Coturnix japonica: one gene and its partners. The protein of the gene in region 2 purifies or fractionates together with the protein of the main gene of each other region. This does not show direct contact. Links are inferred from orthologs where the notes say so. Each region holds a gene or a part of one and is shown on either strand. Other genes may lie near its edges.

Region 1 (7,522 bases), on a different chromosome or scaffold from region 2:
GTAACTTTTTTTTCCCCACCTGTAAGAACTACAGTTGGTGCATATCATTGTTCAGAGCCCAGGGCAAGCTTAAAAAAACAAGCAAACAAACAAGGCACAAAACCATACATTAAAACAAAACATCTGAGCAAGTTTTTTTTCCTCACTGTACATGACAGCTGGCATAGAAAACACACAACAGATAATAAAGAATAAATAGGTATTACTTCCCATCACACTGAAGAGGTTCGGGATCTTAAGGATCTTAAATCAAACTCTTGGGCAGCTTTCCTGTATGACCAGAGCACTCTTTGAAGAAAGTACACGAGCCATCTCTTAACCCATACTATAGGCTTCCGAAGCCATTTTATACAGGTATTTGTTAAGCTGTTGAATTAAAAAGCAAGGCTTCACTCAGCTCTGGTTTTATCATTTGCCATTAGTAAGCCTTGCAAATGTAGGCTCCTAGGACTAGACTCAGGGTGGCCCTCATTACTCACTACTGTTCTGCACTCAACCACCATCACAGTCAGTTTAGCACAGCTAGTCTGATCATTACAGGATGAGCAGAAGTGGAAAACCTCTTCTTCACTCTGAACTTAGGGCATACAGACAGATCCTAACCCACCTGCACTGCTGAAGTACAAGCTACCTTAGAGATGAGCATTACCACATGGTTACTTAAATGCAGTGGCTTAGAGGGAAACCCCACCAGACCCCATTGCAGCCATATAAATATTCTGGGAGACTGTTGTACTTTACTGTACAAAAGTTAATGTAGCTATACAACAAAGTGATGCATACATGTTGCCCTACACCATTAATACTTTTTAAAGCAGGACTTTAAAACAATATTTACAACTTAGAGATTCAAAGTTTTCTTCACTGCAAATATTATATCCTTCACTTGAGGTATGCAGTTATCTTCTAAAATTTTTGCATAAGGCATAGGAACGTCTGCACCTGTAACACGCACAGCTGGAGCATCCAAGTAGTTGAAGGCGGATCCTGAAACAGAAAATGGTGGTCAAGTTGTTGCACAATCTGGTTTGCTGTCAATTCAGTTTCTGAATCTTAATACGCTTACAAATAACTTTGTTCTGCAGTACCAGAGACAGCTGTTCCTGCCTGTCTAAACTACAGCGCATGGTGATAAACAAAAAGTTACCATCTTGCTTCAGTTTCTGGGATAAGAATTATACCACAAGACTATCTGGATTGACCATTTGAATGTGTCTAGAACAGGACAGCTGTTAAGCTCCTCAGACACAGGACTTCCAATTTGGGCTTTATCAAATCTGGCATTATCAAGAAGTCATGAGGATTTAGATCAAGGTGCAGATTGCAGAAGTCGGTACCTTCCATGATCCTGGCGCAGATTTCAGCTCCTACTCCAAACTGTGGCCAGCCTCCCTCTACAGTTACAAGATGGTTTGTCTTTGCAACGCTGGCTTCCACTGTTTCAATATCCATTGGTCTAATGGTGCGCAGATTTATAACCTTAAAAAAAGGCACTGAGTGAGTTTTGCTGTGATCTGATCGTGACCTTTACTGCTGTTTGGGCACTGTGTCCTTTAGCACTTCAATCTATTCTGACTTTGACAAGAAGACTTAATGAAATTACTTCTTATCCTGACAGATGCTTCAGAATGGCTTTTGGTGGCTCATCAAGCATGGAAAATGCTTAATGAGTCTCACTGTATATAATCATGCTGCTACATACTGTCATTGTTCTGCTCATTGTACAGGCAGATCAATCTGAAAGTCTCTGGTAGTTCTGACTTGATTTTGTGATGAAAAGGTCAAACGCAGAAACAAGAAATGCACATACTCTGGCAGTTAAGGCACTTACAAAAGCTTGGAGTTTATAAAGTGATGTTCTACAGAGCCTGAACAAGGTGACCCTCTGCCTTTTTCCTTGTACAGAGAAAAGCAACAGAAACCCCACACACCTCACACTCAACACCTTCTTTGGCCAGGATAGAAGCTGCTTCCAAACAGTGCCCAACAGGCCTAGAGTGCGCCACTAATGTAACATGAGTTCCTGGAACAGAAACAAGTTTTAAAGAAGAAACAAATGCAGAAAAAAAAAAACCCACCACACACACAAAAAAGCATTTTTCTTGGGCTCTTTTGTAGGTAGCATCAGTATTCTCATGCAAATTTAAGTTCCTTACATCTACATGAAATGTTAAGTATTTCTATACCTGTGAAGAATGGCAGCAGGACTATGTGAGGATAATCTTTTGATTCAGGGATCTAAATAATGTTTTCAATACTTTTCGGATTATTTTTTTTTTTACGCTTTCATGCTATTCATTGGTAAATTATAAACAGGCTGAAAAATTACAATGATATCTTCTGCATTTTGGACAAAAATGACATAGTAAGGTGAGAACTTCCCTGCACATCACCAACACCATCCTTAGGCTGAGAAAGAAACCTTCTAGGGAGGTACAGTTTTAAGTGAGAAACTGAGAACAAACAATTGAGTACAATACAGGATAAATCATATTTGAGTATTTAACAATTTAAATGTGTTCCTGTGCCCCATGATAGCAGTATTTTGAACAGCTAAGAGTCCCCAGGCAGCTTGGTTAGTAAGGATACATACAGGTACATACACTGTGTTCTCAGCTTACCTTCCCTTTCTATTTTGGCCTTTCCAATTGGAATAACAAAGTCCTTTGACTGTGCCTGTTCTGACATCTCAAAGGGAACGCCGTACAGCAATTCACTTTCCAGCACCACAACTAGAACAAAACATACTTGGATTAATTCATACCTCTGCAGGAACAGGCTGTACTTATCATTAACGGTACCGCAGAAGAATATTTGCAAGACCAATACAAACAATTAAAAGTCAATCAACTTCACTACGCAGTTAGTTTAAATACTGTCTTCAGTTCATCTCTAAAGGTAGATCAAGGGAAAACTGCAAAGGCTGTGGCTAAGAAATGTTTCTGTAGAACTGCTAGCTTCAGAAAAAGCCTTACATTTTGCACGTGTGCTTGTGAGAAAGAAAGATGAAGGTTGCCCTGATTTTGCTTAATGAGATTCTGAATTTATCATCTAAGCTTCATCAACTCTAAAAAATGAGTTACACTGTACTGTATCTGCAGGTACTTCTCCTGACTCATCTTCATCCTTTATAATGCCTTTACAATGAGTTCATAAATGTGTCTTTCAAAGCTTCTAGATGAGTACCTGCAAGCAGGTTAGAACAGCACAAAATGCTTAAGTGCTGAATAAACTTTTTATCTTTTTACATGAGGTGGGAGAGGAAAAGAAGCATTCAGAAATGAGAGTTAAATACTGCCGTCATCTGACTGTGCTCACCTGGATTATCGTCCCGGATCGATGCCTTCAGCAGCCCCTTGGCATCTTCTGAGCTCCAAGGACTGACAACCTTCAGCCCCGGGCAGTGCCCGTACCAGGCAGCGAAGCACTGCGAGTGCTGTGCGGCAACGCCAGCTGAAGCCCCGTTGGGGCCACGGAACACGATGGGGACGGCGATGGTTCCTGCAGACATGTAGCACGTCTTGGCAGCAGAGTTGATAACCTGGTCGATTGCTTGCATGGAGAAGTTGAACGTCATGAATTCACACACCGGCCTCAACCCCGCCTATCAGAGTTAGACCATACGATATGTTTTAACACCAAAGCAGCTCGTTTTGTACATCAGTTCATTAGGACTGAGGGCGTACTGACCATTGCGGCACCAACGGCGATTCCTGCGAAGCCCATCTGGAAGAGGAGCAAACAGCATTAAGCGCCACAGCTCGGCCCACGGGGAGCCCTGTGGGGGGAGCCCCGCGCCGTACCTCGGAGATGGGGGTGTCGATGATCCTCTTGTCCCCGTATTTCTTCCACAGCCCCCTGGAGATCTGAAAGGATCGGAGCGGTGTCAGCCCCCGCACAGCCCGCACTGCGGCCCCGGCAGGGCCCCCCCTCCCTCACCTTGTAGGCACCGTCGTACTGTGCCACCTCCTCGCCCAGCATGAACACACGCTCATCCCGCTCCAGCTCCTCGTCCAGCGCCTGGTTCAGCGCGTCCCGCACCGTCACCTGCGGGAAGCGGCAGCCGGGCAGTGCTGGGCAGGGCAGGGCGGCCGTCCCTCGGCTCACCCGCACCACCCCGCCCGTACGGATGAACCCCCCGCCCCAGCTCCATCCTCACGGCCCGTACCTGGATGGCGGCGGGCGCGGAGAGGTGGAAGCCTCTGCGTGGCGAGAGAAGGCGGCCTCGCGGCACCAGCAGCCGCAGCGCTCCCGCCGCCGCCGCCATCTTGGCCGTGTCCTCTATAGCACCGGGCAACGGCCCGGCCCCCGCGCTACCTCGGCCCCTGCCTGAACTCTCGCGAGAACTGGCGCTGGCAGCCAGCGCTCTTTTTATGCGTCACTTCCGGTCTCGCGCTGTGGTGGCGGTGAGGCCGTGCCGCGCTCGGTGCTGCTCGCATGGCGCCGCTCGGGGCGCGATCAACGCGGCATCGCCTCCTGCCGCCGGGACCGCACCGCCCCCACCGCCCCCCTTCATCTGTGTGCCCCTCTTCAGTGACACAACTGCCCGCCAAGGAGGCGTGGGGCGGAGCGAGGTGTCCCCACTGTCGGCCCTGAGGTGAAAGGAGGCGGCTTCCCTCCCTCACCCGAGCGGAGCGGGCGGAGACACGGGGAGGGGATCGCGGCAGAACCCGCCCCCGCTCCTCCCTCCTCGGCGGCTGCTTCGCTCCCGGTTCAGTCGCCCCCATCATCGCCGGGCTCTGCTTCAGCGCCGGGACCTGCGACTGTGAGTGTGAGGAGGGGCGGGGCCGGGCCGGGCCGGGCCGGGCTGTGCTATGCTATGCTATGCTATGCTGTGCTGTGCTGTGCTGTGCTGTGCTGTGCTGTGCTGTGCTATGCTGTGCTGTGCTGTGCTGTGCTGCTGTGGGGGGTGGGAGGGAAACACGGGGCTGTGAGCGGCCGGAGGCTGCACTGGGGGGGGGGAAACGGGGCTGGGCCCCCTGTGGGACTGCGGGTACCTGGGGCTGGGGGCTGCCGGGCCCCGTTTGGGATGTTGTGAGGCTGTACCCGGCCCTCAGTTCGAACAGGGGCTGCCCCTCGCTGCAGGAGGGCCGGGCTGGGGCCGGGAGCGGTATCCAGGCGATGGGCACTTGGGGGCAGCGGGTGGAGCGGTGCAGTCGTGTCCAGCATCCTTTGCTGAATCATTGCGATCTCAGGGGGAGATTTCCTTCCGTGCGTTCCTCTGGGATGGAAAGCGGCTGTTCCCGACTCCTCCTGTGGGCCTGGGTTTGAAGGGACGATTCTTGTCACCATCCTGCTGCTTGGTCCCTGTGTCAGCACTGTTGGCTGTGCAGGATGTGCTCCTGACACCTGCCTTCATCCAGCACTGCTGGGAGATGTTTCCCCATGCACACAGCTGCCTGCTGGTGCCATGGAACAAGATACGTGGGTAAAACCAACTACTGACACTGTGCAGAGTGACTGTGTGGTGCCAGCAGGAGCAGGGCAGGTGCAGTTGCAGTCCTTGGACTCCTGCATGAGGAGGGTCAAATGGTGATGTGGGATTTTCAAGCATCTGGCAGATGGAGCTTCAGAACCCAGTCCCAAACTGAGATGTTGTATTGTTCCTCAGGTGTGGGAAAGAAACTTTCAGAGCTTGGAATTCATAGTGAAGCAATTAGGCATAAAGGAGCGAGAATGCTGAGTGGCCACTGTTGGTGTTTTGCTCTCTTGCCTGAGGTGAAGGCTGAAATATTAACCAAAAGAAGCAGAGAAAATAAGGAGAAGTTACGTTCTAATAAACTGTGTTAATCATTGTAAACTTGACGTGTGTAGGTGAGGGATTCATCCTTTAGCAATGCCAAGCTGTGGTATTACCAGAAGTTTTGGTAAGCGGTTGTTTCCATAGCATAGTTTGTTGCTTGGGGTAGCTCAGCACTGTATGGCCTTGGGTTTGCTCTGCAGACTATTGCCTTGCTCTGCAGTTCTGTGGAAGGCAGTCGTTAATTACACTGGCTGAAGGACTGTCGATTCAGGTGAGTCACTGGTAATGATTTGCAATAAAAACTTGCCTTCACATTTTAAGACTGGCTCAGGATTAGAGAGGCTGTCCATTGACAGTGTGGCTACTGAGAGCAGGAGTTTCATTTTCTCATCTTTGGAGATCTTAATGTCAGAGACAGTGAGCTCGCTAAGTGGGAGAGCAGCATGAACCGCAGGTATTTATCTGTATAAATACCAGACTGGCTTAGTAGAAGTCCTGTCAACTTTATATTGACCTTGGAGTCTTCAGTACATATTGAGACTAAACAGTTTGTGTAGACCGTAAACAGTTTGTGTCCTTCCCTTTGAGCAAGGTAGCTGAGAAGCATTCAGAGCAGCTCAGATGCCGTGTGCCTTTTGACTTGTGACTGCTAGGTGCGTTTCTGCTCCTCCTTCATCTGCCTGCATAGGATGGTACAACTGCTGTGTTCTATCCAAGTGCAGTGTGTGCAGTCTGTGCCCAGGGCCAAGTGTGCTGTATTCAGTCCCAGCAGTGCAAACACTTGGCAGTGCTGCTGACATCCCCTGCCTCTGTCCTGGATGTGTGTTCACAGATGCAGATGTTCAGCCCGCTCTCATTTGCTTTCTTTGAATTTCAGCTTTTAAAATAGTTGCATGTTAGCAGCAACCTGGGAGGAGAAGCCCTGCTGAAGTTAATGGGACTACCTGTTGCAGTAACGTTGCTAGTAAATAGCCTTGTAATCTTCTGAGTCATAAAATATTAAGTAAGAGTGAGTGTTCTATAAATGCAGGTATCCAATTTGGTGTGTTTATTACAAAATGATGGCTTCAGTGTTTTTCCTCGAAGGTTCTTTTCTCTTATTGTTCCTTCCTAGTTCTGGGCATACTTGGGCTATGGTGGCATATCCCTTTTGGCTTAAATGGTGCCAGAAGTTGGTCGGGCTGAGGATTGTTTTAGGTGAACATTTCTTATGGCCTTTAAAGGCAGTTTGTCTTGGGATGCATCTCCACGTCACCTGTTCCTTACTGCCTGGACACAAGTAGCTGTGCTGGTGAGGTTCTGTACCTGGGTGTGCATGTTGTGTGTTGTAGGCTGGTGCTGGCTTGAGGCTGTCTGTCCTGGAGCACAGATAAAGTTCTATGTGCTTCTACATCACCGACTTTCATTCAGGAAGGATTTAGAGCACTGTTAAAAGGCAAACTGTGAAGGGCCCGTATCCCCACCCTTGTTATGATGTGGTTTGCTGGTGCTTATCTCTGGTTGTACCTGAACAAGGCCATTTTTGCCTTTGAAGTTGTCTGGAAATTTGGTGCTGCCAGGCTGGCGAAGGAAGCAGCAGGTCACTGTGATCACATCCAGGTGTTTTGGGATGGCCTCTTCGTAGCATCTGTGTGCTCTGTGTCTCTTGTTGCACTGCAAGGTCTGTGTGGGAGTCTGGACTCTTACACAAAGGTCAGTGAGGCTTCTTGCTGCCAATTCTATGTTGAGGGCTGGGTTCGTTTCTGCTAATTGCTCTCGTAAATTATTCACTGTGCTGCT
Region 2 (7,578 bases):
TGAAAAACAACCTCTAATAAATCTGACATTAGTGCTTTAAAAGGTGTATTTCAAATACGCCAACTACGTGCAGAAGCTCTTACTGAGGTGTAACTTGAGAAAATACATATAACAAAAATAGAGAGTAGTTAAGATCATTCCTACCCCTTTCTGCTCTTTTCACTGGAGAAAGTGGAAATGATAGCACTGAGAATAAAAAGGTAGGGACAGGCTTTAAGCAAAGGAAAACAATAGATGGCTATCATTCAGTAGAATTTCTTCATTAGCTCAGAAAATTTGTCAACAAAAATACTGGGAGGATATGGAAAAACTGGAGGAGGAAAGAATCTATACTGAAATCACTGTTAAATTTTAGTCTGTGCAAATATCAGTTCAATGCTGTAGCTGAGTTGTGCTGAAGTTGTTACAACTGTACAGCCAGACCGTTTAAAGCCAATTCAGGTCACTGAATTCACAATTCAATCATCACAATTCAAAAATAAAATCAGAACAGTTCCTTTCTAAGTGCATGTAAAGATCAGCAGCTTGAAATACAGAATCTCCAAACTATAACTTGATTAGAAACTGCAATATAAAAAGGGATCATAGAATCACAGAATGGTCTGGGTTGAAAAGGACCTCAAAGATCATCTGGTTTCAACCCCCCTGCTATGTGCAGGGTCTCCAACCATCAGACCAGGCTGCCCAGTGCCACATCCAGCCTGGCCTTGAATGCTTCCAGGGATGGGGCACCCACAGCTTCACTGGGCAACCTGTTCCAGTGCGTCACCACCCTCTGTGTGGAAAACAACAAGTGTATTGAGCATTGACTTGAAAGGACTGAGAATTCCACACAGCAGACCCTAAGACAAAACCACCTTAAACTGTATTTAAATAGCATTTAATTGCTGTATTTAGTTAGTGGTTACCATACAGACTTACCAGCTCACTGGGGAGAAGATGCATCTGCATACACCTCCTGCTTTTATCCCTCTTCCTCTCACTTAAGAAACCCCACAAAACAGTTTGTAAACAAGACATTCCCACTGAATTAATAAGTAATGCAATCCTTTGAATTCCTTTTATTCATGGAAATCATTTGGTTGCAAGTTATTTTTCTAAACAAAGTATGTCCATCTTGGAAAAAGATAAGTAGGGGTTTGTAAATTGATGCATGTAGGAGCTATAGTTATTAATGAAGTTATGATCAACAATGTACCCTTACCTTTGAAGGAATACATCCAACATTCAGACAGGTTCCACCCAATGTTTCATTTTTTTCTACACAAACAGTCTGAAGGGAAAAAAGGAGGGGAAAGCATTGGAAACCTTTTGGCAGCAAAGAGAGATGTCCCTTCCTCAGTGACAAGCACAGAACATAAGCACCAAGTAAGAACCTCTTGGTTTATGCTCCAGGGAAACAAATGTGCAGAGAAGTGACTTCCCAGATGAAAGCCTGTTGTCATTTAACTTGCTGCTTTTGTGGTAAGCAGCAGTAACAGTACCATGAGGACTCAACATCAAATCAAATAACCACAAGGAGATCAGTTGATCCCCAACTACCCCTCTTCCTGTTTTAAGCACACAAACATAAAATGATCCAAGTGCTTTAACAGCTGCTCTATGGACCAAACAGCACTAGACTGCTCTCACCTTTACCTGGTAAGGCTTTGACTCATCCACTTTAGATTAACTTCACTAGAGTCAAAAGCAGATGTAAAACTGACTTTCAAAAAACTCTATTCTGGTACTGTTACACATTAGGTTAAAATATACTCAGAGGCATCACTGAATTCCAGCTGTTGGAGGAATAACCAATGAGGGACAACACTCTTAACTACAGAAAAATGAGGCTGAAGGGACCTTCTCTGGAAGCCATCTAGCCAAGTTTCCTTCTTGAAGCACAGCATCAAAGCTGTCTCAGATGGCTCAAGGCCTCGACAAGCCAAGCCCTGAAAATCTATATGGGCGAAGGCTACATGCAAGCTGGACTTGTTCCAACATTGCACTGAACTCTTCTTGTAAACAGGAGCTTCTGTCCTTGCCAGGTGGTCTCATCACCTTGGTTTTTTCACGAAGTCCTGCTGTCTTACTTCAGAGGCACTGGGATATACCGGCCAACAGAGCATGCGCAAGTACACTTAGCAAGTACTTCATGAAAGAATGACGCAGTGCCAGGAGAGTAAACTGGTCTTGGGTTAAAGAGAAACAGCAATGCTGCTGATGTCTCACTCATGAGTGAAAATGAAACTTATGAGCATACTATTTCCCACTTCTAAACTCCCAAATGGCCATCAAACTCCTCCAATGGCACTAGGAAATCACATCAGCTGAGCACTGTTTTGGTACTTACCCACAACAGAATCAGTGCATGTTTTATGTAGTGGAGAGGTTGAAGAGTGATCAGAAGGTCTCCAAAGGTCAGTTCTTACCTTAAAGCCAAGCTGAGCTGCTTTGATTGCAGCAACATAACCTCCCGGGCCAGATCCAATAACTGTGACATCGGCATCAACTGCAACAGGGAACATTACAGTTACTCTTTTCAGCAATTAAGACTTTACTGCAGGACCAATTTATTCCTGAACTTATTCATATTTGGAAATGCCAAATAATGGAGAGAAAGTAATAAAAAAGCTATTAAAAATTATGCAATTTAATACTAGAGAAATTACACTTCACAAAATGACTTTCCAGACAAAAGCAAAGGTTGTATAGAGGTTTTTTGACAATATAAAGTCTTAAATTTCACAGGGAAAATAATGTAAAATGAAATTAAGCAGATGGGATGCATCTGACCCATCCTTCCTGCTATAAAACCTGTAACCCCAGATGTCTGAGCAGTTTATTTAAGCATTTTACCAACAAAATTTCTTCTGTTGCTTGTCACAAAATATACATGAGCAGTGCATGCCATGGGATCATCAGATTATAATGCAGGAAATATGGCTGAAGTAAACTTCTGTGTAACCCTTATTGATTATGAACACAGAAGCAGCTGTGAACTTTGTACATTTGTTTCTAGCAATCATAACCTCCTCAGCAATATTAATCACTGCCACTGTTCTTACATTATGAAATTCAGCTTCTAATTATACCTTTATTTTGACAGTAAATCTGACAAAGAAGAATTTATCATAGAAATTGGTGAGGTTGTAAGGAACCTTAAAGCCCATTCAGCCCCAGGCTCCTGCCATGGGCTGGCTGCCCCCCACCAGCTCAGGCTGCCCAGGGCCCCATCCAACCCAGCCCTGAGCACCTCCAGGGATGGGGCACCCACATCTCCATGGGCAGCTGTGCCGGGGCCTCATCACTCTTCCAAAGAAACATTTCCTAATATCCAACCTGAGCCTCCCGTGGTGCAATTTATGTCCATTCCTGTCACCCTATCGCTGTTATGTGGGAGCAGAGGCCATTCCCCACCTCACCACAACCTCCCCTCAGGCAGCTGTACAGACCAACCGACATCTCCACACAGCAGCAGGGCAGGTTCAGCCGTCCTTGGAGGTGTTCAAGACCAGGCTGGACGGGGCCCTGGGCAACCTGATCTAGTAAAGGTGTATGTTTGGTGGCCCTGCCAGGCAGGGGGGTTGGAACTACATGATCCTTGAGGTCCCTTCCAACCCGGGTCACTATGTGATTCTGTGATTTACCTTGATCGGCGTAGGTCCTCTGCGGCACGGCACACACCCCCTGGAGACCATGATGAACTCGATCAAAATGGCTCCTCTAAAACAGAACAAGCCACGGCTTTAAAAGCTGAACCTTGAAGAAAACAGGAACGCGGCCCAGCGGCGAGGCCACGGTGTGAAAGCGGAGAAGCACGGCAAAGCACGGCAAAGCCCAACCCAATGGCACGGAGCCCTCCGGTTCCCCCCGCCCGCCCCTCGTTATTCGCACAGCGCCGTACCCGAGCGAGCGCGCAGGAGACGCGGCCCCAGCGCTGCATGGCGACCGCCTGCACGGCCCAAGGACTCCGCGGAACTACGCAGGCGCAACGGGAACGGGCGGCTGTACGGGAGCCGCAATGGGCCGCTGCGATGGGGCTGGGTGTAAATGAAGGGATGGTCGGCAGGGGGCGCTCTGCTGTTACCTGAGCGTGGCAGGGCGGCCCGCGGGGCGGCAGCATCGCGCTGCTGTGGGGATCTGAGAGGGAGGCAGCGTAATGCCGGGTTTCGGTATTATAAAGCATTTCAGTTATTTAGAACAACCTGTAGGATAGTGGAGCGATCGTCCTGTTAACAGCTGTGCAGCTGTCAGCTTCCTGCTGTGAGAAATATATGGATATTTAGTCATATTGAACACACAATATGTTGTCAGGTGGTTCCTACCATCTCTGGTAAATCCTTTTGTTGTGCTCCTCTTTTTGGTTAAGAGTGGGCACCATAGTAAAGTAATAACATAATCACAGAATCACAGAGTGACCCGGGTTGGAAGGGACCTCAAGGATCATGTAGTTCCAACCCCCCTGCCTGGCAGGGCCACCAAACATACACATTTACTAGATCAGGTTGCCCAGGAGACCCCATAGATCCCCATAGAGACCCCATAGAGCCCCATAGAGACCCCATAGATCCCCATAGAGACCCCATAGATCAGGTTGCCCAGGGTCCCGTCCAACCCGGCCTTGAACACCTCCAAGGACGGGGCATCCACAACCTCCCTGGGCAGCCTGTTCCAGGGCCTAACCATTCTCCTAGTGAAGAACTTCCCCCTAACATCCAACCTAAATCTTCCCTCTTTTAACTTAAAACCATTTCCCNCCCTCTTTTAACTTAAAACCATTTCCCCGTGTCCTGCTATTGTCAGCCCTTTCCAAGAGTTTACTCCCCTCCTGGGAGTAAGTTCCCTTCAGGTATTGAAAGGCTGCAATGAGGTCACCCCGCAACCTTCTCTTCTCCAGGCTGAACAAACCCAACTCCCTCAGCCTGTCCTCATAGGGGAGGTGCTCCAGTCCCCTGATCATCTTCGTGGCCCTCCTCTGGAGGAGAAAGTGTATCCAGAAAGAAACAAAGGTGGTGTTTGGTTTTCCAGCTGTGCCCAAAGCAAGATGGTGTGTTGCTTTTTGGGCTGTTTCACCTGTTGATCTGCTCAGAACTTCCTGTCACTGGAGAATTGAAGCAAGGTGACAGGTAAGAAAGCTAAAACAAGTCCAAGGCCACAGTGAGTTGCTCTACGTGAGGTTCTGCACCAAGCAAAGAGCTGACAATGTGTGGGCAATATGGGAGGAATAGGGTGCAAAATAGCAGCATACCTCGGTTTCAAAGAGGATGCAGGACAGCTGTCCCAAAAGCATATAAGGAATCCTGGAATGTGCTCTGTTCTGCTGGTATTTTACGGAGATCTGTAGCTCCCAGCTGCCTGCAGGAGAGTTAAGTGCTTGGGACATTCCTTTGTTGCTGGAGCTTAGGGGAACACACGTAGGTGAGCAGGCATCAGGAGCACAGAATTGCTGCATTTTGGGGTTAGAGGGGAGCTAGACAGGAGTCTCAGTCTCCCCATAATGCTCCAGATCTGGATCTTCTGGCAGAACCCATTTGGGTTCTCTCCCACCAAATGGTGCTTGCACAAAAGGTCATGGTTCCAAGCTGTAACCTTGATATGACCTCCTTGCATACCCTGGTTAAACACCCAGCACCCTACCCCGGTTATGGAAGCTGCACTTCAGCTGCCTCACTTGAGGGAGTGACACTTTGCATTTCAATGTTAGGCACCTACTGAAGCCATCTTCCTAAAGCAAGTACCTCAATTCCCTGCATGGTCAGCAGGTGTCTTTGAAAATAAGTCCCCAGGAGATACTGTCTGCCTAACTAATATGCATGCACTAAGGCCAACACAATCTTGCTTGGGGCCTTCAAGGATTCCTGCCTCTGCTTTTATTATACTGCAAAAGTGAATGATCAGAGTAGATGTGTTTCACCCCACTGTTGTTATCAAGAAGTCAGACAGCTGTTTTGGCAAGTAAAGGCACCTATGGGAAGTGCAGGAAGGCTTGTGGTTTGAGAGGTTTATTCATCTCACCCCAAGGTGGGTGTCAAGGGTTGTCGTGCTAAGGTTGGCCACAGCTGTGCTCTCTGCTGAGCACAAAAGGAATGCAGATCACCTACATTAAACAGCTGACTTTGAGATAGACAAAGCTGGCAAGAAAAAACTTGTTGCATTAAAGAGGGAATGCCTCCATAGCCATAGAAAACTCAGGAGCTGGGTGGGCATCTTGAGTTGTTAGGCTGGGTCCTTCCCTGCAGCGTCACAGGTGTACAACCCTGCTACCACTCTGCAAACAAGAAGGGATAGTGCCAACCTTAGACGTCAGTTTGCTTCACTTTTATTAGACCAGGAAGAAAGTGGGAGCTCTGGCTCTGAAGTCCTTTGCTAAGATTTCTTTCCATCTGACTTCCTCTTGGGGATTATTTTGCAGCCTCAGTGAATAGCTTTGCATACCAGTAAGTTCGTGTACCTTGTGAGATTTGGTTCCCTGTGCTTTATTCAGTTCTGAAAACCAGTGACCTGATAGCTATGAGCAAAGACTGCAGACGAAGCCGGATGCAGCATACGGAAGCTACGTCTGAACATGAGAAAAAGCCTATGACATTTCTATTAAGTTATGTAGGAGAAATAAATGATTCTCTGCAGTACAGAATTGTGCAGTGGCCATCATTCAAAGATCTGAAATGGGAATTAGGAAAAGATGATACATCAGTGATTCTTTCCATTTCCTGTACTGAATTTGTCATTGCCCATTTAAACTCCTTCACAGACAGATCATACCAGAGCTGGTCATAAAGTGCCAGTTAGTTTTCACATTAAAAGAAATAAAGAAAAAGTACTTTCATATGTTTTAAGCTCCCGTTTCATTTTTCAAGTCTTTAATAAAAATCAAACCCAGGAACACTTTGTATTTTTAAATACCTGTAAAATTCACTGATATTATCACAGAATCACAGAATTATCAAGGTTGGAAAAGACCTAGAAGATCATCTAGTCCAACCATTACCAATACTTCCCAGCTAAATCATCTTACAATGAAGAAATGGCACACTTCTGTCCAGGGAATAGCTTTGCTTTTGTCCTGATCTCCCAGTCCCTCTAATCCACACAGAGATTTTGTGATTCACAGGAAATTTGACCCCAGGAATCAGGTGTATTTTTTTTCTGCAGGAGAATATTAAGCCTCTGTAGCAAGACATTTCCATTTTTAGATAATCTTTCTTTTACGAAAGTCAAAGTTCTCTCTGAAGTACAATATTACCATTCATCTTGAGGCTTTCTCAGTGATAACGGCGTGATAAACGTAGTGCATTTCCTGCACCTAAGATCACTGTCACTTTTACACTGTAAGTGCTGTATTGCACCTGGACCAGGGAAAGCCCTGATCTAGCTCCACAAACAAACTGACACCGTGAAAATCAAGGTGCATGCTCTGCCTTAAAATGCAGTTTGCCCTTTAAAAGCCATAATTGATAGAGATTAGATATATTAACATTGCTTTTTGCAATGCTGTGTGGCAGTCTGTTAGTACAGAACACTATGACATTGGTAACACAGTCGTGCTCCTGGGAGGCACTGACTCTGCTGCAGTGTAGGCTGGGCTATGCCTGCTGA
Region 3 (7,502 bases), on a different chromosome or scaffold from region 2:
ATTAAGGTATTATTAAGGCATTAAGGCATTAAGGCATTAAGGCATCGTTGCACAGCTCCCGGCCCCGCTCGCGGTTCGGTTCCGATCCGGTTCCGACCCGGTTCCGGTCCCGGTTCCCACGTGCTGCAGGGCGCCAGGCTCGGCCCCGCCCCCGCGCCCCGCCCGCCAATCAGCGCCCGCCTCCGCCGCGCGGCCTTCGCGCCCTCCGCCACCAATCAGAGCGGCGCGAGGCGCGTCGCCGCCCCCCGATTGGCCGAGCGGACCGTCCGTCCCCGCGGCGGCCCCGCCCCCTCCCCCGCCCTGGGGCGCCCTGGCGGCGGCGCCAAGGACACGGACCCGGTTCGGGCCGCCCCCCCCAACACAACAACCCCGACCCGCCCGGCCCCGGACCAGACCGAACCGAACCGAACCGGACCGGACCGACCCGCCCCGTCCCCCATCCCGGTACCTGCCGCTCCGCGCTGCCGCTCGCGGCCCCGACTCTGACAGCGGCCCCCAACCGCCGGCTGCCGCCCCGCGTCGCCACGCCCCGCTCTGACGTCACCGCGTCGCCCCGCCCACAACGACGGACACGCCCCCAAAGAACCGCGCTGAGAACGGGGGGGGGGGGCGGCCATAGGGACATAGATGGGGACATACATCTATAGGGACATACATCTATAGGGACATACAGCTATAGGGACATACATCTATAGGGACATACAGCTATAGGGACATACAGCTATAGGGACATACATGGGGACATACATCTATAGGGACATAGATGGGGACAGCCATCCACCCATAGGGACATACAACCGTGGGGACATCCATCCATAAGGACAGCCATCCATCCATGGGGATATACATAGGGACAGACAGCTGTAGGGACATACATGGGGACAGCCAGATGTAGGGACAGCCAGCCATCTATAGGGCCATACATCCATAGGGACACCCACTTATAGGGACATCCATCCATCCATGGGGACATCCATCCATAGGGACATACAACCATGGGGACATCTATCCATAAGGACATCCATCTGTAGGGACAGCCATCCATGGGGACATCCATCCATCTATAGGGACATCCATCCATCCATGGGGCTATACATCCATCCATAGGGACATATATCTATAGGGATATCCATCCATCTATAGGGACATCCATCCATCCATAGAGACATCCATCCGTAGGGACATCCATCTACAGGGGCATCATCCATAGGGACAGACATCCATCTGTAGGGACATCCATCCATCCATGGGGCCATACATCCATCCATAGGGACATACATCTATAGGGATATCCATCCATCTATAGGGACATCCATCCGTAGGGACATACAACCATGGGGACATCATCCATAGGGACATTCATCCATAGGGACATCCATCCATCCATCTATAGGGCCATCCAACCATTGGGGTCTGCAGCACACAATGGATGCACATTGTGGATGGCCATTGTGGTGCAGAGCCCTCCGGGTGTGGGGAACATCCGTTATGGGATCATCCCCCCACGGGGACGTCCACGATGATGAAACCCAGCGTGGGGACGCTGCCCACAGGGGATGGACATCCTGGGAACGGAGACGTGGTGGTGGGAGGGTCGTGAGGGTCCAGCCCTGAGTCACGTCCTGTGGGGACAGTGACACCATTTGGGAAGTGAAACGGCTGCAGGAAAACACGCGGCCGCCCCACACACCCCACACACGCACATCCCCGTCCAGCGTGGCGCAACCACGGGGCAGCCACCAGGGCTGGATGTGGTGCCCTATAGGACGGCAATGGGGATGTGGGGTCTGAGCGGCAGGAAGCCCAAGTGGACAACATCCCTAAGACAGCAATCAGAGGGAGAGGGACGTGTGGGGTCAGGCAGGAAACAGTGGGGCTGGGTGGGGAAATGGGGCAGCGGCAGCACTTACACCACCGGCCCCTATAGGGGAATCTGGCCTCGCTGCAGCCCTGACGAGAGCTGGCGTCATCGGGGGCACTGGCGGCCATGGGGCAGCCCCAATGTGTCAGCCAGACCCCGAGCATTGCCCCACTCTGTGCATGGCCCCAAAGCAACGCCCTGCTGGGCCCCACACTGATCCCAACGCATCATCTGCTGTGTGGTCCACAACAGCTCTGAAGGGCGGCTCCACTGAGCCCCACATTGACCCCAAAGCATCATCCTGACAAACACCGCTCTGACCCCAAAGCATGGGTGAAAAGCACACTCAGCTCTACAATAAGCACGGCTCTATCGCATCCCATACCAACCCCAAACTGTGCCCCATTGTGACCCCAAATCACAGCAGCTCTGCGTCTCCTACTGACCCCAAAACAGCCCCTCTGAGCCCCAAAGCAGAAAGCACGCTCTGAGCTCTACAGTGACCCCAAAGCCCCCATGGGCCCCGCATTACCCCGCATTGCCCTGCATTGCCCCGCATTGCCCCGCAGCCAGCAGCACGGAGGCGGCGCCGGTGCCGCGTTGCAGCAGATAACGAAACTCGGCAATCTCCGACCGTTGCGAAACGTGGAAATCCCGCTGGGTGCCGCTTCCTTCCAGCAACCCTTCAAAACCCAGCGCTCCGCAGCAGCGCTCACAGCTCCAAAGGCAGCAGCAGCAGCAGCAGGAGGAGCAGGAGCACCCACAGCACCCACAGCACTGCAGGCAGCCTCACCCTCAGCTCCCATTGAGAGCACAGAGATGGCGTTTGTTCCCGACCTGGACGTGCTGGAGAGCAGCAGGTGAGCGCTGAGATGAGCTGGGGGCTCAGGGTGGGTCTGAGCTTCACGTTGCTCAAAGCTCAACGTCTGCTTTGCCTTCCAGCCTCAGCGATGAGACCTTCTACGGCCCCTCCTGCCTCTGCAAGCAGAAGGTGCGGACGGGAGGACCCGGCGGCTCAGTGGACGTGCAGGTGACGGTGAGGAAGGGACGCGGCGCCCGGAGCTTTCGGCACGCTGCCGTGCTGGTGGTGGCCATGACCAAACTGCTGCGGAGGCCCAGGAGCAGGGACTTCAATGACAGCGACCTGAGCGCCCTCCTGGAGGAGGTGTTTGGTAGGAGCACGGTGCTGGACAAGGAGGAGGGATGGTGGCTGGGCTGTTGTTGGTACCCGCTGACCTCCCTGCCCTCCTGCCCCCCATAGAGCCCGTCACCTTCCAGCGGCTGGAGAGCAGCTACGCCGGGGCGCCCGCCTTCCGCTACACCCGCTCACAGTCCTTCGACATCTTCGACATCAACCAGAAGTGCTTCGTGCTGGAGTCACCCACACAGCTGGTGGCCCTGCACCTCCAGGGGCCTTCCTCCAGCCAGAAAGGTGAGGGCACCACATCCCCATCCCCATCCCCTACCCCTATCCCTACCCCCTATCTCTATCCCTGTCCCTACCCCCTACCCCTGTCCCTGTCCCCTATCCCTGTCCCTATACCTACCCCCTATCCCCATTCCTGACCCCTATCCCTCTCCCTACCCCCTGCCCCCCATCACACCCACTGACCCATCCCTTCTCCCCACAGTGAGGCTCAATATCGCTCTGTACCGTCCCCGTGGCCCACGGGGCAGCTCTGGAGCCGGGCAGATGCCGGTGGCGCTGGGCATCAAGGGCTACAAGCTGTACATGTCGTGTGTGCTGAGCGGCGCTGAGCCCACCCTGCAGCTGGAGGTGAGCAGCCCCCATCCCATCCTCATATCCCACTCTGATACCACCAGCACCCGCTGACCCCCCCGTGTCCGTATGGCAGGAAGCCGATGTGCTGCGGGATATTGACAGCGTGGAGCTGACCCGCTTCATCTTCTACCGCCTGGACAGCCCGGCCGAGGGCACCACGCGCTTCGAGTCGGCCGCCTTCCCCGGCTGGTTCATCTGCACGTCCCTGCAGCCCCGGCAGCCCGTGGGCATCACCAACCAACCCGACCAGGTCAACATCGCCACCTACAAGCTCAGCGGGCACTAAGTGCCCCCTGCAACCCAACCAAACCCAAACCGGCCCGTGGCTGGTTTCGTGCTGTATGTACCGAGTACAACCCGCTGCCCCTCCATGCTGTTCCACGTGGAATAGCCGCTCTGGGCCCCGTGGGCCCGAGTCACACCGTTATGTTTCGTTACCTGTTGCTTTTAACTTATATATTTTTTATATTTGATCACAACGTTGTTGTCCCACCCCCCGCGTTGGGGTGGAGCTATTTATTGTCTCTCACAAATAAAGGCTCCCTGTGGATGTGTGGCTCACTGTGTCTCACCGTGTCTCACCGGGTCCCTCTGGGGGTCGTCGGGGTGGTTCAGGCTGGAGGAGCGTTGCCCACACAGCGGCGGGTACCTGGGGGGCAAAGACAGCGACTGCTGCCCTCGGGATGCCCACGACCCTCCGAGCTCTACTGCCCCTTAACAGCCAACCCCATTGCCTCACAAAGCCCCCATCAGAACCAGAACCCCCTGCAGACCATTAGAACCTCTTAGAAACGCCCTCAGACCCCCCTATGTCCCCCAGACCCCCCCTTCCAGACCCCCCATCCCAGACCCATAGATGTCCCTTCCAGACCCCCCTCCCAGAGCCCCCTATGTCCCCTAGACCCCCTCCCCAGACCATCGACCCCCGTCTATGGTCCCCCAGCCCAATATGTTCCCTCCCAAAAAGCCCCATTATGTCCCCCCAACGAGCCCGCTTCCCAAACCCATGATGTCCCCGCCCAGGACCCCTATGCCCCCAGAAACTCCCCTTCCCAGACCCACATATGCCCCTCCAGACCCCCTTTATGTCCCCCAGGACCCCCTTCCAGACCCATCAACGACCCCCCTTCCCAAAACCCCCATGCTCCACTCCCCCCCCATCCCCTTCCCTACACTTATCGGCCATGTGTCTCCGTTGGCCCCGCCCCATCCTCTGACTTCACCCAATCACAGCTCCCCGTGCCCACCACGCCCCCTCACTGCGGCGCTCCCCATTGGTCGGTTTGAAAGCGGCGGCGGCCGCTGAGCGCGGGGCGGCGGTTGTGGCGGAGGTTGGGGGGGTTGAGATGATGGCGGCACAAGGTGAGGGATGGGATATGGGGTATGGGGTATGGGGTGTGGGATATGGGATATGGGGTATGAGGTATGGGATATGGGGTATGGGATATGGGATATGGGGTATGGGGTATGGGATATGGGGTATGGGATATGGGATATGGGGTATGGGATATGGGGTATGGGGTATGGGATATGGGATGGATCCGGGTCCAGACCGGAATGGAGGGTGCTACAGGGTGGGAATGGGGTCGGGTGGGACGGACAGCAGGAGCTGCGGGTGCCCCATTGCATTGGCAGCACCTGCCCTGCCCTATAGGATCTCCATAGAGCTTTAATTGCTGCTATAGGAGCACCTCATGTGCTCTAAGTGCTGCTATGGGAGCACCCCGTGTGTCTAAGTGCTGTTATAGGAGCACCCCGTGTGTCTAAGTGCTGCTATGGGCATCACTCTGTATGTGCTGGGTGCTGTTGGTGCCTGTGAGCAGCGCTGAGCTCCAGGACGGCCATACCCCCCATTCCCAGCGCTGTGTGCTCCATGTTCTCCTCCCATTTCTTTGCAGAAGAGCGGAGAAGAAAGCTGCAGGAGTACCTGGAGGCCAGGAGGAAGCCGAAATGCACCAGCACCAAGTAAGTTGGGCTGTGCAGCTGTATCTGCATCACCAGCATCTGCCACCTCTGCAGTGTGTGCTAATGGGAGCAGCCCTGTGCCAGACTGAGCCTGGGGCAGCTCCTGGTAGCATCAACACAGCCGTGGTTGAGTTGTTATTTCCTGCTCTTTAATGCTGGGTGTCTCCACAAAACCTTCCCATCCCAGGCTTTGGGTTTGCAGAGCAGCCTTTGGTTGCATTGCCAGCTGTGCAGCTTTGTTTTATGGTAATAAGGAAGGGACACCTTCAGCCCATTTAAAGCAATCAGGAGGAAGCTCGTTACCACACCTGATCTGGTAGGTGGGTTCCCATCATGTCCTGCCCGGCCCCGTCAGCTGCAGGAAGCGCTTTGATGGCTTTTCCCGTCAGTGGAAGTTGTGTGTTGTGTAACACTCTTTGCTGTCACTTTTTCTGTTGCCACACGGAAGGGAAAGAAACACGACGTGGTTCTTCCTTGAAGCTTTCAGGCTTCCAAACGCTTCTCATCAGCTGCTGTGGCTGAAGCAACCAGAAGCATTTGAGCTCTTTCACCTTGTTTCTGCAGGGCCTGTTTAAAGGACCAGACTAATCACCTGGATCCACTTTTAAAAGCAGTTTCTGAACCAGAACATGTAAGTAGAAATGGACTCTTTTCAGTCTGGTTTTGTGCTTGAAGTGCATCCATGCAGATGGGGGAACACAGAGCAGGACGGTGAGTTCCTGACCCCAGGTGGGTGGTAGTAACACGTTGTTAAACATCCGGCCCTGAGACAAGCAATTAATTTTCAGAGCAAATAATGAGAGAATCATCCTCTGTCTCAGTGCTGGGTGTTACATTGGGCTTGTCTCCCCGCACTGGGCTTTGTGTGCATCCCTTGGGCTGGTGGGGCTGAGTGTCGGGGTGTGACTGAGCTGAGCTCTGCTCTGGGCTCTGCCTGATGTTCTTTGTCTCTGCAGCTTGGCAGGAACAAGGGCATCGTCCAACACGTAGCAAAGGGCACCTGGAAGGATGGCAAACTTGCAGCCAAACCTGCACAGCCAGCTGGGTGTGCTACGCTGCGGCAGCATCCACGTGCGTCTCAGAGAGTAGGAGTGGTACGGCCACGGCAGCTGGGGAAGGGCACAGAGCTGCCTGCAGGGCTCGTTCCGAGCACAAACCCCCCTGCACAGCCCAGAGGGAAGGTCCCACCTTCTGCCTCTTGTCACCTAAACCCTGGAGGGCCGGAGGAGGCTGGAAGTGGGCAGTCTGTGCCCGGGGCACCTTGCTCCCTGGATGAGAGCCGGCAGCGATGGCTTGGCTCCGACAAAGAGAACTTACCAGCACGAGCAGCTACAAACCCCGTGCCCAGCAACACTATTCAGTCTAATGGGAACAGTGTGGGGATCGAGAGAGCCTTGGCTCGTGGGCAGAGCTCAGGCGCTGTGTCAAGGACTGTCAAGGGCCCAAAGGACAGAATTAATGGCTGCCACACTAAGGAAATGCTGAATCAGGACAAATCCAGGAATCCCCTGCCAGGCTCAAAGGGCGCATCCCAAAAACCCAGCGGCACAACTCGGCCATTGCAGCCCCCTCAGTTACTTGCTAATTCCACACATTTGCTACATAAAAAGCCAGCTGTAAAACAGGAGAAAAACAATGCAGCAAGGGAACCTGTGGGGAAGCTCGGCACGTCTCGGATGGGAACTCTTAAGCACTCCAACACAGCTCCTGCAAAGCCCCCAGCCTCCAGCCGGCCCCAGGGCACCACAAATGGACCCACCAGGACACCCGGCCTGACGCTGTGCACCACGGTGCAGCAGCAAAGACCCACAGTGAGGGGGGGAGCAGACAGGAAGGACGTGAAGGCAGCACCTTCAGGACACACAGCAACATCCCGAGTGGGAGCCCCCCAGA

Evidence for each region. The genes of interacting proteins can lie anywhere in the genome.
Region 1: the proteins of DLD (region 2) and PDHB purify together in Homo sapiens (affinity purification with mass spectrometry; 3 studies listed by BioGRID and IntAct, counting the BioPlex papers as one, with this or other methods). This does not show direct contact. The link is inferred for Coturnix japonica from reciprocal best matches to the Homo sapiens genes DLD and PDHB.
Region 3: the proteins of DLD (region 2) and OGDH purify together in Homo sapiens (affinity purification with mass spectrometry; 3 studies listed by BioGRID and IntAct, counting the BioPlex papers as one, with this or other methods). This does not show direct contact. The link is inferred for Coturnix japonica from reciprocal best matches to the Homo sapiens genes DLD and OGDH.

Annotation. Positions count from the first base shown.
Region 1 is NC_029527.1:9,334,233-9,341,754, forward strand, and holds the start of PDHB (pyruvate dehydrogenase E1 component subunit beta, mitochondrial), read right to left. Parts: upstream 4,332-7,522; 5' UTR 4,268-4,331; coding exon 4,169-4,267; intron 4,048-4,168; coding exon 3,940-4,047; intron 3,867-3,939; coding exon 3,804-3,866; intron 3,727-3,803; coding exon 3,691-3,726; intron 3,605-3,690; coding exon 3,319-3,604; intron 2,733-3,318; coding exon 2,622-2,732; intron 2,024-2,621; coding exon 1,932-2,023; intron 1,480-1,931; coding exon 1,338-1,479; intron 988-1,337; coding exon 842-987; 3' UTR 1-841. UniProt on the Homo sapiens protein: The pyruvate dehydrogenase complex catalyzes the overall conversion of pyruvate to acetyl-CoA and CO(2), and thereby links the glycolytic pathway to the tricarboxylic cycle.
Region 2 is NC_029516.1:13,333,320-13,340,897, reverse strand, and holds the start of DLD (dihydrolipoyl dehydrogenase, mitochondrial), read right to left. Parts: upstream 4,014-7,578; 5' UTR 3,926-4,013; coding exon 3,887-3,925; intron 3,706-3,886; coding exon 3,630-3,705; intron 2,492-3,629; coding exon 2,412-2,491; intron 1,274-2,411; coding exon 1,205-1,273; intron 1-1,204. UniProt on the Homo sapiens protein: Lipoamide dehydrogenase is a component of the glycine cleavage system as well as an E3 component of three alpha-ketoacid dehydrogenase complexes (pyruvate-, alpha-ketoglutarate-, and branched-chain amino acid-dehydrogenase complex).
Region 3 is NC_029537.1:135,658-143,159, forward strand, and holds the start of OGDH (2-oxoglutarate dehydrogenase, mitochondrial), read right to left. Parts: upstream 4,332-7,502; 5' UTR 4,217-4,331; intron 4,206-4,216; exon of another isoform or gene 3,931-4,205; coding exon of another isoform or gene 3,718-3,930; intron 3,639-3,717; coding exon of another isoform or gene 3,493-3,638; intron 3,294-3,492; coding exon of another isoform or gene 3,123-3,293; intron 3,034-3,122; coding exon of another isoform or gene 2,804-3,033; intron 2,722-2,803; coding exon of another isoform or gene 2,378-2,721; exon of another isoform or gene 660-2,377; intron 556-659; exon of another isoform or gene 449-555; intron 1-448. Other genes in the region: interleukin-1 beta, read left to right, coding at 2,378-2,721, 2,804-3,033, 3,123-3,293, 3,493-3,638, 3,718-3,930; CKAP2L (cytoskeleton-associated protein 2-like), read left to right, coding at 4,991-5,006, 5,543-5,609, 6,174-6,240, 6,566-7,502. UniProt on the Homo sapiens protein: 2-oxoglutarate dehydrogenase (E1o) component of the 2-oxoglutarate dehydrogenase complex (OGDHC). Participates in the first step, rate limiting for the overall conversion of 2-oxoglutarate to succinyl-CoA and CO(2) catalyzed by the whole OGDHC.